2 linked regions of the Canis lupus familiaris genome follow. The main gene of each other region encodes a partner of the protein of the gene in region 2 in a complex. Links are inferred from orthologs where the notes say so. Each region holds a gene or a part of one and is shown on either strand. Other genes may lie near its edges.

Evidence for each region.
Region 1: the proteins of NAA35 (region 2) and NAA30 are in contact, whole or in part, in a cryo-EM structure (PDB 7MX2), measured with the Homo sapiens proteins. The link is inferred for Canis lupus familiaris from reciprocal best matches to the Homo sapiens genes NAA35 and NAA30. Residues at the interface, in NP_001308810.1 of Homo sapiens: Leu45, Gly46, Leu48, Leu56, Ala59, Met60, Ala62, Glu64, Lys69, Glu121, Phe313, Pro314, Arg315, Ala444, Leu510, Glu511, Leu512, Glu517, Pro605, Lys606, Phe607, Glu608, Leu609, Asp610, Val614, Arg615, His618, Arg619; in NP_001011713.2 of Homo sapiens: Glu221, Pro238, Ser240, Tyr242, Thr243, Arg245, Tyr246, His249, Asn250, Lys304, Ile324, Glu334, Asn335, Leu336, Gly337, Val339, Arg340, Asp341, Lys342, Arg343, Phe345, Arg346, Tyr347, Tyr348, Leu349, Leu359, Trp360, Leu361, Arg362.

Annotation. Positions count from the first base shown.
Region 1 is NC_049229.1:33,240,778-33,249,349, forward strand, and holds the start of NAA30 (N-alpha-acetyltransferase 30), read left to right. Parts: upstream 1-4,274; 5' UTR 4,275-4,512; intron 4,513-4,777; 5' UTR 4,778-4,778; coding exon 4,779-5,582; intron 5,583-8,572. UniProt on the Homo sapiens protein: Catalytic subunit of the N-terminal acetyltransferase C (NatC) complex. Catalyzes acetylation of the N-terminal methionine residues of peptides beginning with Met-Leu-Ala and Met-Leu-Gly.
Region 2 is NC_049222.1:74,344,379-74,352,922, forward strand, and holds the start of NAA35 (N-alpha-acetyltransferase 35, NatC auxiliary subunit), read right to left. Parts: upstream 4,827-8,544; coding exon 4,703-4,826; exon of another isoform or gene 4,669-4,702; intron 3,349-4,668; exon of another isoform or gene 3,215-3,348; intron 1-3,214. UniProt on the Homo sapiens protein: Auxillary component of the N-terminal acetyltransferase C (NatC) complex which catalyzes acetylation of N-terminal methionine residues. N-terminal acetylation protects proteins from ubiquitination and degradation by the N-end rule pathway.

The sequences.
Region 1 (8,572 bases), on a different chromosome or scaffold from region 2:
CTAACCTCTAATTTTGGGGGTGGGGAAGAGATATGGATAAGTTCAGGTATAGATGCATTTATTGACGTGGGAGGATGGGAGTGGAGGGAGTACACCTTTGGAATAGTTCATTTTTCCTAGTGAAGTGGAGGCCTGCCTGAATAGAGTGTGAAGCAGTGGTCAAAGATAGTTGCTATTAGATGAAGCTAGCCTGGAAAACTGATAAAAACAACTCTAGAGTACTGATCACTGAGGGCATAACTAAATTGGAGGCCGAGAATTTTCAGTGGCTTTAATATATAGGAATTTATGATTTTCTCCAGCACCTCTCACCTACTCAAGTGGAGATATGAGAATCAGCCTGTCCATGCCCTCAGCAGGTTGTGGAAGTATGATGTTGAGAGTAATAGAAATAGTGACCACTTGACCATAGGCCTCTCTGGTTCCTTATACCCCTGAGGCCTCAGCCATACAAATAAAATCTATGCCTACAATTGGGACTGCCAACCAGGGTTCTCAAAGTCTGTTCTTTAACAGACTGGCACTCCCTCAAATTCAAAGGGAAGAATCAAATTGTTAATTAAAGCACTTTACCTGGGAATCTCACAGTGTTCTAGGATTATAGGTGGTAAAACAATATACTAATATTCATCCTTTGATTAAATTCTATAAATCTCAAATGTGATGTATCCCCATTCTTTCATCTAGGATAAAACAAAGTTAAGGACACTCATATTCAAGACTTTATGTATAATAGATAGGATTAGTGGGATTAAGAGCCACATGGCATGTAAAATAAAACAACACGAATATTTAAATTATTCAGTATGTGTGCCTATGGCACATGACATGACATCCTGTTGAATCAAGAGACTTAAAGCATCTCTCCATTATTAACATCTTCATTCCCACAGTTACCTTTCAGGTAGGTACACAGCTAGGATTGCCCCCTAAATCTGGCCAACAAGAGAAAAAATGTCTAGCTATTAGAATTAGGGAGGAACTTTTCTCCTTCAGGAAGTTGCTTTAGGCTAGTACTTCAAAATTGCTGTTGGTTATTTTAATTGATTTAATGAGGAGTTTTTTCTTCTAAAAAACTTAAATGTGTCCTTTCATTGTTCAAAAGAGAACAAAGACAATAGTTAAGACAATAATAATTAAGACAATAGTTAATACGTGACTATTGCATCATAAGATATGACAAAACAATGAAAATACCAATTATCCAGATAGAAGACTATCACTGGTTACACCTTCCCTGCTCCAAGACCATTCCTTCCTCTGAAGTCATTGCACACAGAGATAGTTGTCTTTTCAGAACCTCATTATAGGCAAATGTGCCTAAAGTGTTAGAGTGAACTAATCCTATTTTCACACCTAAAATAATGCTGCCATAAGCATATTACTCACAAACATGAATAAAAAAGAAAAGATTTTTACAAATATAAGGGATAGGTTTCTTAGAGAAGTCTTCTGACTTAGAAGATCATCATTGGGATTTTAATAGGATATAAAGCAGAGTCACTGGAGCTTAGATACCAGATATCTTATTAACTTATCAACTAGCAAGCAGGCCAGAATTTACTCTGTAATTATAAGCATTCTCAATTGCTGAGAGAATAGCATATGTAGTAAAAAAAATAAAAAACAAAAAACCCAGACAAGTCTCATGTATTAGATATGTGAATAATACGTAAATAAGACTCAGTCACTGACCTCTAGAAGGTCTTTATAACTCTTGTCTTTCTGAAAATAACTGTGAGACAACATTAAGTGAACTCCTCAGTGTGAGAAAGCTCAGTACCAAGTTACAGTATAGAAAGAACATTAAGACTTGCCGTCACTCATTCATTACATGGAGTCACATCTTTTTTAGGACAGGGTTATACTCCACAGATAATGAGATACATTTTTCTAAGTAAAAAAGATCCTTCAATATGTCTTGGGGAATTGTATGGAACCATTTTGGCCATTTTTTTTTTCCTGCATGACTTGAACAGATCATTGTTTGTTTGTTTGTTTGTTTGTTTTCAATTTACTCATGAGAGACACAGAGAGAGAGGCAGAGACACAGGCAGAGGCAGAAGCAGACTCCGATGCGGGATTCGGCCCTAGGACCCCAGGATCATGACCTGAGCCGAAGGCAGGTGCTCAACCACTGAGCCACCCAGGCACCCCCAGATCATTGTTTCTTTGACTTTGAACCTACGTCATTTGAAAAATATGCATTGTTAAACAATGTATGTGCATTTGGAAATACGGTTTTTGTCTTAGTTTTTAAAAACCATAAATGGGATCCCATTGTACTTATTTGTTTACTTTATCTCTTTAGGGTGTTTTAGAGGTCTTAAGCACCAAAATGGCCACAGCAATATTTCTGGTTCCACATGCTCTTTAAAAACCTTGCCTCTCCTCATCAAAAAGTATGGTTTATTTCCCCTGCCTGTGAACCTGGATGAGGCTTTGTGAGGTCCTAGAGAAATAGAAGGTGGCACAACTGACACTGCATGACTTCTAAGGCAGATAAAAGAGAATATGCTCCTACCTGGCTCTCCTTCTCTTGGGATACTCACCCTGGGAACCTAGCCATCATGCTGTGAAAAAGCCCAAAGCAGTCCATATTAAGAGACCACCTGGAGAGGTCTACATGGAGTTGAGCTGAGGTTTCCAGCCAGCAGCCTCCAGCCAGTATCAATCACCAACATGAAAGTGAAAAGTTTTCAGATGATTCTAATCCTCAGACTTCCAGTTGAGGCCCTATGCATAAGGGAACAGAGAAAAGTCATTCCTGCTGTGCTGTCTGAATTCTTGACTCACAGAATCTGTTGGCATAATAAATGGTTGTTTTATAACACTGGGTTGTGGGGATAATTTGCAATGCAGTCATAGTAACTGGAAGTGTACCAATACATTCTATTATAGTCCATGTATTAGGTATCATAAGCTTATTTTAATCATTCCTGTATTAATAGATACAAAGGTGGTTTGGACTTATTTTTTCCGATTATAGACAAGGCTGAAATAAATGTCAATATTTCTATAAAAAACCTATAAATCAGTTTTTATTAAAACTTATGAGTCAATAAATACTTGTAAGATACTTAGAACAGGACTTGGTACATAGTAACATATTTTATTATTTTTTATCACTATCGACTGAACTTCTATATGGAAGGTGGTAGTTTGTCCTTACTATCTTTAGTGACAAGGATCCTAAAAATTGTATCCTAATAGCTATGCTACAGTGTATCCCACTTTCTAGAGTTCATGCCATGGCAGGAAGTTGCAAACATAAGCAGTCACAGAATTATGTCCCTGAAGACGTCCATCTGCGGCTGACATGACTGGCTCTACAAACGGGTCTTCGAAAAGCTTGAATTCGCTCCGTGTGGTGGAGAGTTACAAGAACAGACCTGCTGGGCATCACCATTTGCGGGCTAGGGAGGAAAAGAGCGGGGCCACACGCTCAAGTGCGTGCCGCGGTGCTTTTCCTTTTGCAACGCGCCTGGGCCGACCGCTGGGTGGAGCGAGTGCGGAGCGAGCTTCAGGGCATTACTTTCCCGGTGACAGTTCTTGTCACAAGTTTAGAAACGCGCTTTTCTGGCCGTTTTCACTCTCCTCCACCATCTCTTAAGCCTTCCCTAGACGCGCTTGCATCTGTCCAGCACCTTTATCTCCAAATCACATTTACCTCCGAATTCCTGGGTGGGGTGAAGGCGGGTAAAGAGAGAGGAGGGGGACTACCTGTCCACCTTCCCTGGTCTCAAAGGGGCAGACGAGTTAAGCTTAATTCACACTACAAACAAACCAGTTTTCAACCCCCTCCTAACGTCCTCTCTTTTCTCCTTTATTTATTTAATTTATAAACTAATATAATTAATTTATCCCTATTTAGTTTTGCTCCACTTTCAAGGGACTCAGGTAACCACCCTCCTTCCTCCGCCCTCCTCCCCGGGTCTGGGGAAACGCAGGAGCGCGGAGGAAGAGCATCTTTAGGGGACTCCCGCGCGGCCGGGTCGGCAGGCCTCCAGCGGGCCGGCTTCGCGGCAGCTCCGCGGGGGCGGGAGGGCGGGCGGGCGCGCTTGCAACCCCCGAGCTCCGGTCCCGCCCCCTGCTCTCCCCGGCCCGGCGTCAGGAGCTCCGCGGGCGGCGGCGGAGTCCCAAAGCCGAGGACGCGCGGCCGGGGAGCCGGAGACTCCAAAGCCCTCCGCAGCTTCCCCGCCCCGCTGCCCCACCCGTCAGCACGCGGCCCCCGCCCGGGGCCCGCAGGAGACACCTCCGTCCCCGCCCCTCCACAGGTCACCTCCCTCCACGCCCCTTTCCCTTGGCCCCGGCAGCCGGCAGGCAGGGAAGTGTCGTAAAGCCAGGCCTAGGAAACTTTACCCGGGGTAACAGCCGAGGCGCTTTACGGCGACGGCGGCTGAGTGTGAACCTTGGCGGCGGTGGAGGCGGCCGCGGCGGCGGAGGAGGCGGCGGCGGCGGCGGCTGAGGAGGAAGAGGAGTGGCGGCAGTGGCGGCGGGGACCTGTGCGGGGTGAGCCGCGCGGCGCGGGCAGGGAGGGGCGCGGGTGACAGGGCCGGCGGACGGGTGCGGGCGGACGGGGACGGTGGCCGGCTGAACAGCTGGGCGGCGCTGAAGAGCGGGGGGGCCCGCGGCCCTGGGGAATTGGGGGGGCCGCTCCGAGAGGGACGGTCTCTGCCTTTGTTCCCCCCCCACACCGTCGCCGCCGCCCCCTCTGCTGCGGCGCGCTCGTCCGCCGGCTCTCATGGCCTCCCCTCTCGGTCTGTGTCGCCTCTAGGATGGCGGAGGTACCGCCTGGGCCTAGCAGCCTCCTCCCACCACCAGCACCTCCGGCCTCGGCGGCGGCCGAGCCCCGCTGCCCCTTCCCGGCGGGGGCCGCCCTCGCCTGCTGCAGCGAGGACGAGGAGGACGACGAGGAGCACGAAGGCGGCGGCGGCGGCGGCGGCGGCAGCGGCAGCGGCAGCGGTAGGAGCCCGGCGGGCGGCGAGGCGGCGGCGGCGGCGGCGGCCAAGGGGCATCCGTGCCTTCGCTGCCCTCAGCCGCCGCAGGAGCAGCAGCAGCTCAACGGATTGATCAGCCCCGAACTGCGGCACCTCCGGGCGGCCGCCTCCCTCAAGAGCAAGGTTCTGAGCGCGGCGGAGGCGGCCACGACCACGGCCACCCCCGACGGGGGGCCCAGAGCGACTGCAACAAAAGGAGCTGGGGTACACTCGGGCGAGAGCCCCCCTCACTGCCTCCCCAGTAATGGAAGAACTGCGCTCCCCAGCCCGGCAGAGGCAGTGGCGGCGAGCGATCCTGCGGCGGCCCGCAATGGACTGGCGGAGGGCACCGAGCAGGAGGAAGAGGAGGAAGACCGGCAGGTGCGGCTGCTGTCTTCATCCCTGACCACCGGCTGCAGTTTAAGAAGCCCCTCGGGCAGGGAGGTTGAGCCTGGGGAGGATCGGACGATACGTTATGTCCGATATGAATCCGAGCTACAAATGCCCGATATCATGAGACTGATCACCAAAGATCTGTCTGAACCCTACTCCATTTATACGTATAGATATTTTATCCACAACTGGCCACAGCTGTGCTTCTTGGTAAGTGGATGGAATGCAAAGAGGGTGAACCCAGCAGAGAGATCCAGGCCGTGCGGGGCAGGGAGTGTGAGGGCCGAGAGTGGCAGTGGATGGATGTGTATACTTCTGCGTTTCATATAGTACGGTACATGATGTAAAGTGCGTGTACACACTACCGGTTATTTAATGAAACTTGTTTTGAAGGGAAGACGTCTTGATCTGGCTTAACTTGATACTCCTGTAAATGCAGCAAGCCTGTATGATGCACGTTTGGGGGTCTTGGATCCTTGTTTATATTAGCTTATAATCATGTTTAACCGTCTTTAATTATCCTCCCTCCTCCTCCAAGCACTTTGCAATCATTTAATTTGAACATTGGTTCTGTTCGGATACAGGCTTTATTAATCTCTCAATTACAGCCATAATCAGGGAAGAGTGTATGCATAAACATGTTTTGGTGAACATGATTGTCAGTAAACTTGCTGTGGCCACATTGGAGAATTAAATCTTACAAGCATTTTCTGTTAATACGGAGATAGTTTCCTTTTACTTCAACAGGACAATTAACAGTTGTAGCCGGCCTGCTTTCTGGTGCTAGATGGTGCTACTAACCTTTCTGGTGGCTGAAAGATGACTGAAACTTGAACAAAATATCTTTTTGTGGAAAGTAGGGAACCAAGTGTGAAATCGTTACTAATCTAATTTTTCTCTTTAAGAAACTGGTCTAGGTATACCTAAATACTAGTAGTAACACCGGCTTGTGTAAAGCATAGTTGACAAAATTTTTATACTTACATGTAAGCAAAAAAGATTTGGCTGTGCAACAAGCTAAATAGGTATTTTTAATTTGTATAGTACTGGCAGTACCGTTTTTTTTCCCCAATAACACTGACCAATGTTAGTCTGTATGAAACCTATCACTTAAGTATTAACTGAAGGTATATGCTTTATATCTTTGTGCTCACAGGCATTTTATTGCCATTGAATTTCACTGAGGAAAGGCACTGTGCTTTTAAAAAATGTTTTATGATGTGTAAAGGGAGAAGCTACTACTTTTATTATTTTAGCATTGACTTAGTTGCACATAGCAAATCCCTGCAAGACATTTTGACGGTGCTTTAGAAATCTTTTTGGTTCTATATGTTGGTGGTAACCTGAAAATACAACTTCAGAATGGTAGTTCTGTTATTTTCTGTGGTCACTTTGCTAAACTTCAATTTATTATGTTTGTTTAAATTGTGGGGAACTATCTTACAGTCTACAAAACTGCCCTCCCAGGACTCTAGCAGCCATTGTATCAAAATAGACGTACTTAGACATGCATTGACACAGGCATGTGATCACAGGGAAAGTGATTTTATAGCATTATTATACATGTAAAAGTCAGTGTAATTGCTAAAAATTTACAATTGATTTAACTGTAAGTTTACCCACAAATGCATACAATTGAGCCAAACCTTAAATTGAAATATTATATGTATTTTTGTTAATTACAGAAAATAGTTGTATGTATAATATTTAGTCAGCTTTGGGTTCTGATATTACCTGGGCCCCTCTCAACTTGTCTGCCATTTTAGACTCTGATAAACTTAGTAAATTTTAGTTTTGATATTTCATAGGCTCTTTCCAATTTATCAGCTAATTTGTACTTTAGCTCTTTAATAGCGAGTTGTTTAATGTTAAATTCTGAATCTCTGGAAGGTGAGATACTGTACAGGTGGTTGACATCTAAGATTTACTAGTGCAAGTATGTATCTGCAGGTATTGAACATAAAACAGTAGTTAATCAGAGGCCGTTTAGAATTGGGGCCTTTGGGTTCACGTTTAAAAATTTGAATTTCCTGTAAGAACTAATTAAAAACAAGTTTTAAGTCATATTTTAGAACCATAAAGGATCTTAAATACAGTATAGCTCAACCTCACTTTTTTTTTTTTTTTTTAATGCAAAAAGATTAAGGACCAAAGTGACTTAAAATGTTTAATCTTCAGATATTTAGGGCTGGCTCAATTGGTGGATATGCAACACTTGATCTCAAGGTTGTGAGTTGTGAGTTCAAGTCCTAAGTTGGGTGTAAAAATTATTTAAAAATAAAATCTTAAAAAAAAAAAAAAGCTTCAGATATTTAGTGGCAGAGAGGTAAAGCTAGAATTTTACTTGACGTCTCATGGAAAGAACCTGAAAAATGACATACCCTTGACCCGTTCAGCGAAGATCATTATGTTACCAAGTTATGCTTCATCAAGGGACAGTTCTTACAAACATCAATACTCTAAAGAGATTAAAAACCTCCAAAATGGTTCTCGTTTCCATATAACCTAAAATGGATCAAATAGAATGTATGAGTTCGAAATGAAGAAAGAAAATTGCCAATACTTGACCATATCTAACAAAAACAACAGTTTCTTATGATTCGTCCTAATAATTGTAGAAGATGTGAAAGTAGAGTGCCAGACAAATTGGAGACACTGTCAATTATTATTCTCTTAACTAATTTCTCTCTACGTTTTTTGAGTTCATGGTATTTTCAGCTCTTGGTGCCTTTTGAACTTCTTAAACTTATTACCAGTGATGTAATATTGTCTGTTTATTTTAACTTTCTGGCTTCCTCTGTTTTCCCATATATAGCATTCTGAAATTTGGGAATTTCTGTTTCATGCAACTTGTATTTTTCAAGTTTTATAGATTGGCAAGCACTTGACCTTGTAGTGTTAAGTCTAAATCTTGCCAGGAATTTTTCAGTTCCCATCCTTGAAAAAAGAACACATTTGATAGTATGAGTTCCAAATATGTGCAGAACTTTTATTTGGAGAAATTGACAAGCTGTTTATTGAGTCTTAAAAGTGTATATCCATCAGCAATTTATCAGAAAAAAAGAAGAGCGCAAGTCTTCCTCACTACCAATACCTTATTAGTAACAATATATTATATACTGGGCTTTTCTGCTTTACTGATGCATACCACTTGATATTTGCTCCTACAGATACTTAGTTAGGAAGAAGTCAATCTAGTC
Region 2 (8,544 bases):
TAAAATAACCAGCTAAAAGAGGGAAGGCGTTGACTTCTGAGGACAACCTTTCTGTTAACCAAAAATTCCCAACAAAAAGGAGGCTACACAATACCTAATTAATGAGAAAACCTGTTAAGATGTATTCAACAATGCAGAAAAGACCTCAAAGTGCATCAAAGCTCCCATTCTCTTCCCACTGCTTATTCTATGTTAATGCTAGTTGTTAGAGGTGTTAGGACATCCAATATCCATATGTTCCCTTCCCCAAGAATCCAGGGTCAGAAAGATTAAATGATAGTCGAATATTATTGAAAGTAACCTAAATAGAGTGAACTACACAGCACTGTTGGCATTTTGTGCAAAACAATTACTTCTTTGTGGGGGCTATCCAGTGCAGTATCCTTGGTGTGTACCCACTAGACACCAGCAGCCACCCGCCTCCTACTGTGACGACCAAAAATGTTGCAAGACATTGGCAAATGTTCCTTAAGAAGCAAAATCAACCCTGGCAGATAATCGCTGATCTAAAGTGACCCACAATTACTAGTACAGCCCACCCCACCCATGCCCCACCACTGAAAACATTGAGAAGATGTAACAAGGAAAACATAAATTTCCAAAATCAGAATCACTTAAAATTTTCTTTACAGATCTTTGCCCAATATACTTACTTAGATTTGCCCAGATCTTTCACCAAGCCATTTCCATCTTTTTCTTCTTGAATAAAGTAATACAAACAGCAAATTCCTAGAACAAGGACTCTCAGATTGGGGTTTATAAATTCAGCAGAGGAGTCCATGAAAGTTTTATCAAGAATCTATGTTTTGTTTAAGATAATTGTTAAATGCCATGTAATCAGTTTGGTGATAATTTTTTAAGAAGATTACAGATTACCAAATGGATACTAACATTATAATCAAGTATTGCTATAATTTCAGTTCCCAATCTTGTGTTCGTAATTACATTGGTTTCAGGCAATCACCCAAAATGATAGCATTTAATGTAATCCAGTGGTTCTCAAACCTCTGAAGTACAATATCCAGATACTCTAATATGAAGAAACATGGCCTTAAATTTTTTTTTTTTTTTTTTTTAAGATTTTATTTATCTGAGGAACCCTGGGTGGCTCAGCTGTTTAGCGCCGCCTTCAGTCCAGGGCCTGATCCTGGAGACCAAGGATTGAGTCCCACATCGGGAACCCTGCATGGAGCCTGCTTCTCCCTCTGCCTGTGTTCTCTGCCTCTCTCTTTCTCTGTGTCTCTCATAAAATAAATAAATAAATAAATAAATAAATAAATAAATAAATAAATAAATAAATATCTAAAAATATATATATATATTTTATTTATCTGAGAGAAAAAGCGCCTGCACGAGAGTGGGCACGTGCAGCAGAAGAGGCAGAGGGAGAGTGAGAAGCAGACTCCTCGCTAAGCAGGGAGCCCAATGCTGGGCTTCATTCCAGGACCCTGGGATCATAACCTGAGCCAAAGGAGACGCTAACCAATTGAGACACCCAGGCACCTTTCATTCACTCTTTAAACAAATATATCTTAGGATCTACAAACATTCTAAATGAGAGAAGACAACACAAAAAGGAAAAGGAACAAGAAACTTAAGAATCCTAGGTTTTAAAAGAGGAAGAGAAATCAATAAAAGTTTTCCAAAAGTACTGGGCAAGAGTGGGACAAACTGGATAAGTGATGGGGCCTTAAAACATGGGGTGAGAAAGACAGAGGAGGAATGAGTAAAACCATCAAAGAGAGAAGGATATGAAATGACAGGATAGGCCCATTTCATTCTAGACTAAAGCTCAAAAAGAATGGAAGTAATGACAGCCAACCTTGGATTACCTCTGAGTTCTAGATACCTGACAGTGTCATCAATCTAGGATAAACAGTGTGGAAGAAAAGAATCTGATAGGTAGAAGAATGAGCAATATATATTTTATGATCATTTAAGTTGTAGGTTTGTACTTCAGAAAGCACCTAATTTTAGACAACCAAATGAAATATGAAGATCAAAGACTTTTTATAGGAGGCAATGAGATGGTTTGAATTAGGCAGTTTCCTAGAGAAGCAAAGCTCAGAAGTGTTAGATAAATGACATGTTACATACCAGGCACAGTAACAGTAATAGCACCATATATTCAAAATAATTTAAGGGGGGAAAAAAAGCCCTCCTACCCCCCAAAAAAGGCCAAGGGCCTCAATGTTGAAAATAGGAAATGTGGAGGGAATGTGTGCCATCTGCCTAACAGGAAATAAAAGAAGTGATGAAATTAGAATTTGGTCCAGAAGACTTCGAAGAGTCACTAAAAGAACAGATAGAAATGTACATGAAAAACACTGTCATCACTATGCAGATTGCTTTCTCGGTACCAAAATAAATAATCCCCAAGGTCTAGTCAAATACCATCGCACTGTTACTGAAGAGGAAAGACCACTGCAACAGTTACAGGGTATAATATTTGTTTTAAATTTAGCCCTCAGAAAGCTGCTGGAGTCTAAGCTAAATTAATGCTATGAATCTGATTTCAAGAAAACAAATTATTAATAATATAGGCTCAAGAGCTCCCAAAAGACTTTAGTCCTAAATCTATATGTAAAGGAAGATCACTTCTACATCAACTTTTTCATTTCAAATATACCTCACATCTGTGCCACTTCAGACCAAGCAAGAGCTAATTATTGAAAAGTTAATAGGATGGTTTGAGGTTGGCAACAAAATGACATGCTCCCCCTCCTCAATCCCCACTGAGACAGGAATAAAACCATATTGCCTATTTAAGGTTCTGCTCATGAGGAAGCAAAATTACTCACTCTCCCTCAAATATCCAACTCTCATGAACTCTGGTGAGAGTAACAGTTCATCTGAGTCTAGAATAATTCCCTCATATTCACTTACAGAAACTCCACCACTCCTCTAAGGCCCAACTCAAGCCATATGAACTTCATAAAGCCTTTTCCATTTAGGTTCAGAACAACAACCCTCTAATATAGATCACTTAAAAATCAGTGCAGGATGACGGGCATAATCCATCAACAGTTTAAGATCTCTGGGCACAGAAATTACACTGTAACTTACACTTCTTTCTCTCTCCCTTGGATAGATGGATATGGGCAATCCCCCAATTTCCAGTCTAATATTCTTTCCACAATTTCACTTTTGCTTTCTTTAAATGGACACGTTTCATAACAAAGGGTCAGTGCACGTGTTATCATTTTGCTTATGCCCAGCTGACTCCCTTACCACCTGCAGCTACTCCGAGTCTCTACTCCTCCTTCTAAGGGCACTATTCTAAACACTCCATCTCATCAACAACGAAGACTTAACCTTCAGTTTAGTAAAAACAGAGAAGCCATCAGGGTGTGTATCCCTCTACCATTCCTCCCCACTCGTTTAGAAATCTACCTGTTTCTTCACCAATCCTAACCTCAGTTCCTCCTGTCTCAGTAATTCCTCATTCTGGTCCCCTAAGTTAATTTCTCTACCATGTTCTTTATCCCATCCTCTCTTCAAATTCAATCTCTCACTCTACCATTTTTTTTTCCAAAAAAATTTTATTTATTTATTTGAGAGCATGAGCAAGAGAGCACAGTGGGGAGGGAGGCACATGGGGAGGGCAGAGGGAAAGGAAGAGGTAGGTTCCTGAAGTGGGGCTTGATCACAGGAACTGAGCAGGAGGCAGCTGCTTAAACAACTGAGCCCCCCAGGCACCCCTCCCACTCTACCATTTGTCTCTTTCCTGTCTCTCCCTAAGACCCATTCTCCTCAGACAACAAATATGCTCACTTCTCTAATCATTTATGCCTTTGCATTTGTTAAACCATTACTATGTTCCAGGCAATGTTCTCTGTGTTAGGCTTACAGACAAAATGTCTGCACTCACAGAGCTTTATGTTCCAGTGGGTAGGGCTGACAGTAAACAAGAAATAACTGAAAGGACAGCTTCTGATAGTATATAAGTATTATAATAAAAAATAAATAAAACAGAGTGATTCAGGTGAGGTAGAGTCGGACAGAAGAGAACAGGGCTAAATCTACTAAATCTACTTAGATTAATTGTTTGGAGACATCCTCCCTGGGGAGCTAGCATTTAACTGGCCAGGAAGGAGCCAGCTATGTGAAGGTAAAGACCTGGAGGCAAAGCAGTTTAAGATACAGAAAAAGAAATATGCAGAGGCCCAAGGGGAAAATGCCCTGGTGAGCTTAATGGCATAGAAAGGACATTGTGACTAACATAATGAGCCTAGTTGGGCAGTGGTACAGAAATGAAGTCAGTGGTAGACAGGCATCAGACCACACAGGCCACGGGGATGGAATATGGATTTTATTCTATATTGAACAGGAAGCCACTACAGGCTCTTAGACAGGAAATAATGTGATCTGATTATTTACAAATCTCAAACATATAATAGTCCACCATCTTTAGGTCAAGACAATTCATGTTTGCACAGTCTGAAATTATTGCCATGTACTCTCTCATCTGTTAAGGCTAGAAAAACTGAAGCAACTGCTTCAACATCTGTATTTCATGCACTATCAAATACTGGCTTTAAATGAAAGTTAAAATTATTAAGAGGGTAAGGAATGAATAAGTGTGGTTAACAAACTTGATAAACCACACTTACCTGTTGCTTACGTTTGAGTCTACAAATCACAAGATTTTATTTTACCTTTTCCCAGGTTGTTAATTTCTAACCCAAGAATTCAAACTCACCTCGACAAGCTTCTTCAAAATCTTGGGTTATGTCCACCCAGCTTGTATTGCTTTTTTCCATCTTTTCTGGTATACTGAGCTCCCATCCTGAATCATCATCTTCTACAGAAGCTTTCATGACCATAATGCCTATAAAATTAACACTGGTGTAAAAGAGATTGTGGCTTTCAGGGCAAGACTATTTGCAAGCCATGTGTGTTCACTCAAGTCCTGGATGGAAGTCTTACTAAACTGCCAGACTTCATCGGAGTTTGATAGTGGCAACTGGGAAATAAAAAAAATAAAAAATAAAATAAAAAAACCTTAACGCAATTAAACCTTACGTTAAAAGCACTGCTGCTTATTTACTAATAGCCGAGCACCTACAAGGGCTTTTAAGAGCTTGCCTTCCCACCATCCAAGGAAAAAAATCAGAAGCCACCCCCCCACCACTGGCCCAAGCAGGATGAACTCCAGAGCTTTCAACTTTGCACACCGGACACAAATGAGGAAGGCACTCTTCAGAGCCGCCTCTCGCAGCCCGGGGCCCACGAGGCAACTATTGAGTCAGGGTGGTCCCTCACGTGCCCGGAGCTCTCCGGGCCCGGCAGGACCCCGCACAGCCTCGCACGGCGGGCACCGAGGGCGGGAGCGCCCCGCAGGGCACCTACTCGCCCGGCCCAGAGCGGCTGCGCACCTGAGGCGGGACCCGCCCCACGACCACCTTCCCCGGGTCAGCCCGGCCGGGCCCGGCGCCGGCCCCGGCCCCACAGGGCGCGGAAGCAAGGACAGAGCTGTCGTCGCGCGGGAGGGCGGGCACGCCCGGTGCCGGGTCGTCGCCCGGGCAACACCGGGCAAGGCCGGGGCCTCGGCGGGCGGCGGGCAGCGGACACCGGAGAGCCTGCAGCTCCTACCTGAAGCGCGGCGGGAGGCCGGGGCCGCAGGGTGACCTGGCGTCCCCAGGGTCCGCCACACGCGCGGGGGGCTGCGGCTCTAGGACGCAGGAGGAAGGGAGAGTCAATGGCTCTGCACCGGCAGTCCCTACCTACTTCTCCCGTGGCCACCCGCGCCGCCACGCACCGTCCAGACCGCGGAAATAACGACGCCGCCTCAGCCGCCTCAGCCGCCGCCGCCGCCGCCGCCGCCCCCTCCCCTCTCAGCCCAGCCCGGCCGCCCCGTGCGCGCATGCGTACGCCCGGTGCGCGCGACCCGCCCCCTCTCCCTCACTCCTGGGGACTTCGCGCGCCCCGGCCACACCCCCTCCCTCACCATTGCCACCGATGGCTGCCGTCTTCTCTTCTCGCGGGATTAGAGCCAATCGCGAGACCGGAAGCTACCTTCCTTCCCCTGCCTCAAGCCTACTCCCGGGTGGTGGGCGGGTCCCGGGGAGGGGTGGAGCTTGGGGGGGGTCTGAGCCCCGCCCCTCCCCGCGCGGCTCCCTGGGAAATTATTAGAAAGGTGACGGTAAGGCGGGAAAGACCCGGGAAAGTCCTTGTAGACCTTGGCAGTTGTGTCCGTGCAAGAAAAGCCTGAGTGTGAGTTTCACCGAGCTAGTGCGGCCTGACACAGGATTCAGGCGTCCTAGAGAGCCTGGAGGATTCCTGAGGGAAAATAGAAACAAAATATATGCAGTCAACCAAGCCATTTTCTTTCAGACTTGTAAACGTTTTAAGTTTTTCTTAAAATGTATTCATGATCCATTTTAGAGTGGTATTATGTAAGTAGAATGGCAGGAATAAGAAAACACCTTTACTACTACATTTCCATTGAAATGGCCAAAATTTAAAAGACGACACCAAATGTTGACAAGGACTTAGAGCAACTGGACCTCTCATCTGTTGCTGGTAAGAATGTAAAATAGTGCAGTCACTTTGATTGAGTTTGTATTTTACCAGAAAATCGATCATACACTATCACTTGATCCAGCAATTTCACTCCCAGGTATTTTCTTAGAAATATGAAAATGTTTCTTTTTTTTTAAGATTTTATTTATTCATCAGAGACGTACACAGAGAGAGAAGCAGAGGCACGGGCAGAGGGAGAAGCAGGCTCCATGCAGGGAGCCCGACGTGGGACTTGATCCCCGGTCTCCAGGATCACACCCCGGGGCTGAAGGCAGGAACTAACCACTGCACCACTGGGACTGTCCTATGAAAACGTTTCTGAAGTCGGAATGAGTTAGGGGCAGATGAAGCTAGGCAGGGAAAAATAAGGGAAAGGCCCAAAGTCAGGCTCCTACCCATCCCAAGGAAATAGATTAAGACAGTAAAAATAGAAAAGAAAAAAAAAATCAGGCTCCCTAGATCTAAAATGTAGGGAGTCTCTCCCGTTTGATGGTTACCAAGCAATCACAGAAACTCACCAGACCCAAAAACAGCCATATGACATTCACTCAAGAAAGCATGAAGAAACCCAAAGCCATAGGCTCCCTGGTTAGGTTCTCAGTAAAAAAACAGCCAAAAAACCCTTCAGGGGCAACCTTGTTGGATCCATTCTCACTTCTGAGAGCTTTGTCTGTATCTTTGCTTAATAAACTTCTATCACTTTACTCACACTCCGTTGTCAGCAAGATTCATTCTTTGACCCCATGAGACAAGAACCTAGCTCTCCCATATCATTTCCACTTGTACATTACTTTTCGTAGCTTCATTTTTAGTAATCCAAAACAGGAAACAACCTAAATATTCATCAGCTGGTGAATGGATAAACAATCTGTGGCTTATCTGTACAATGTAATAATAATTACCAAAACACGGGTGTGAACTACTTGACATGCAAAAACATGAATCTGAAAAAACATTATGTTGAGCAAATGAAATCAAGAGTAGAAGCAAATGACTATGTTTCCATTTATATGAAACTCTAAAAAAGAAAAATGTGGGGCACCTGGATGGCTCAGTGGTTGAGCATCTGCCTTTGGCTCAGGTCATGATCCCGGGGTCCTAGGATCAAATCCCACATCAGGCTCCCCGCAGGGAGCCTGCTTCTCCCTCTGCTGCCTGTGTCTCTGCCTCTTTCTGTGTCTCTCATGAGTAAAAGAAATAAAATCTTATTATTAAATGTTCTGGGGATCCCTGGGTGGCGCAGCGGTTTGGCGCCTGCCTTTGACCCAGGGCGCGATCCTGGAGACCCGGGATCGAATCCCACGTCGGGCTCCCAGTGCATGGAGCCTGCTTCTCCCTCTGCCTGTGTCTCTGCCTCTCTCTCTCTCTCTCTGTGACTATCATAAATAAATAAAAATTTAAAAAATAAAAATAAAAATAAAAAAATAAAAAATAAAAAATGTTCTGGATCTTGATTATGGTAGTAATTAGATGAGTGCATACATTTGTAAAAATTCATTCACTTATGATGTGTCCATTTTACTGCCTGCAATTTAAACCTAAATATAGTTGCTTATTTATTTGAGAGACAGTGAACACACAAGAGAAAGAGCATGAGAAGAGGGGCAGAGGGAGAAGGACAAGTGGATTCCACTTTGAGCAAGGAGCCTGGGGAGTGGGACTTGATTCCCAGGACCTCAGGATCATGACCCGAGCTGAAGGCAGATGCTTAACCTACTGAGTCACCCAGGCACCCCTAGAATTGCTTTTTAAAAAGCAAAAAATACATCTGTATGTCTCTTACAGAATAATAGGTTTTATAAAAGCAGGAGCTTTGCCAATTTTGATCACAGCTACCTCACTCAGGGTGGTGGTTGGCGTATAGTAGGTGCTCACTAAGTGCACTGAGGATGAAAATGTAGGGAAGAATTACAATAAAGCAATTCTATATTGTTTCTCCAAAATTATTTGATGAACTTTTGCAGAAGCCATTAGAAATCTAGAAAAGGATGAACTGACTGCATCTGAGTTATTCAGTAT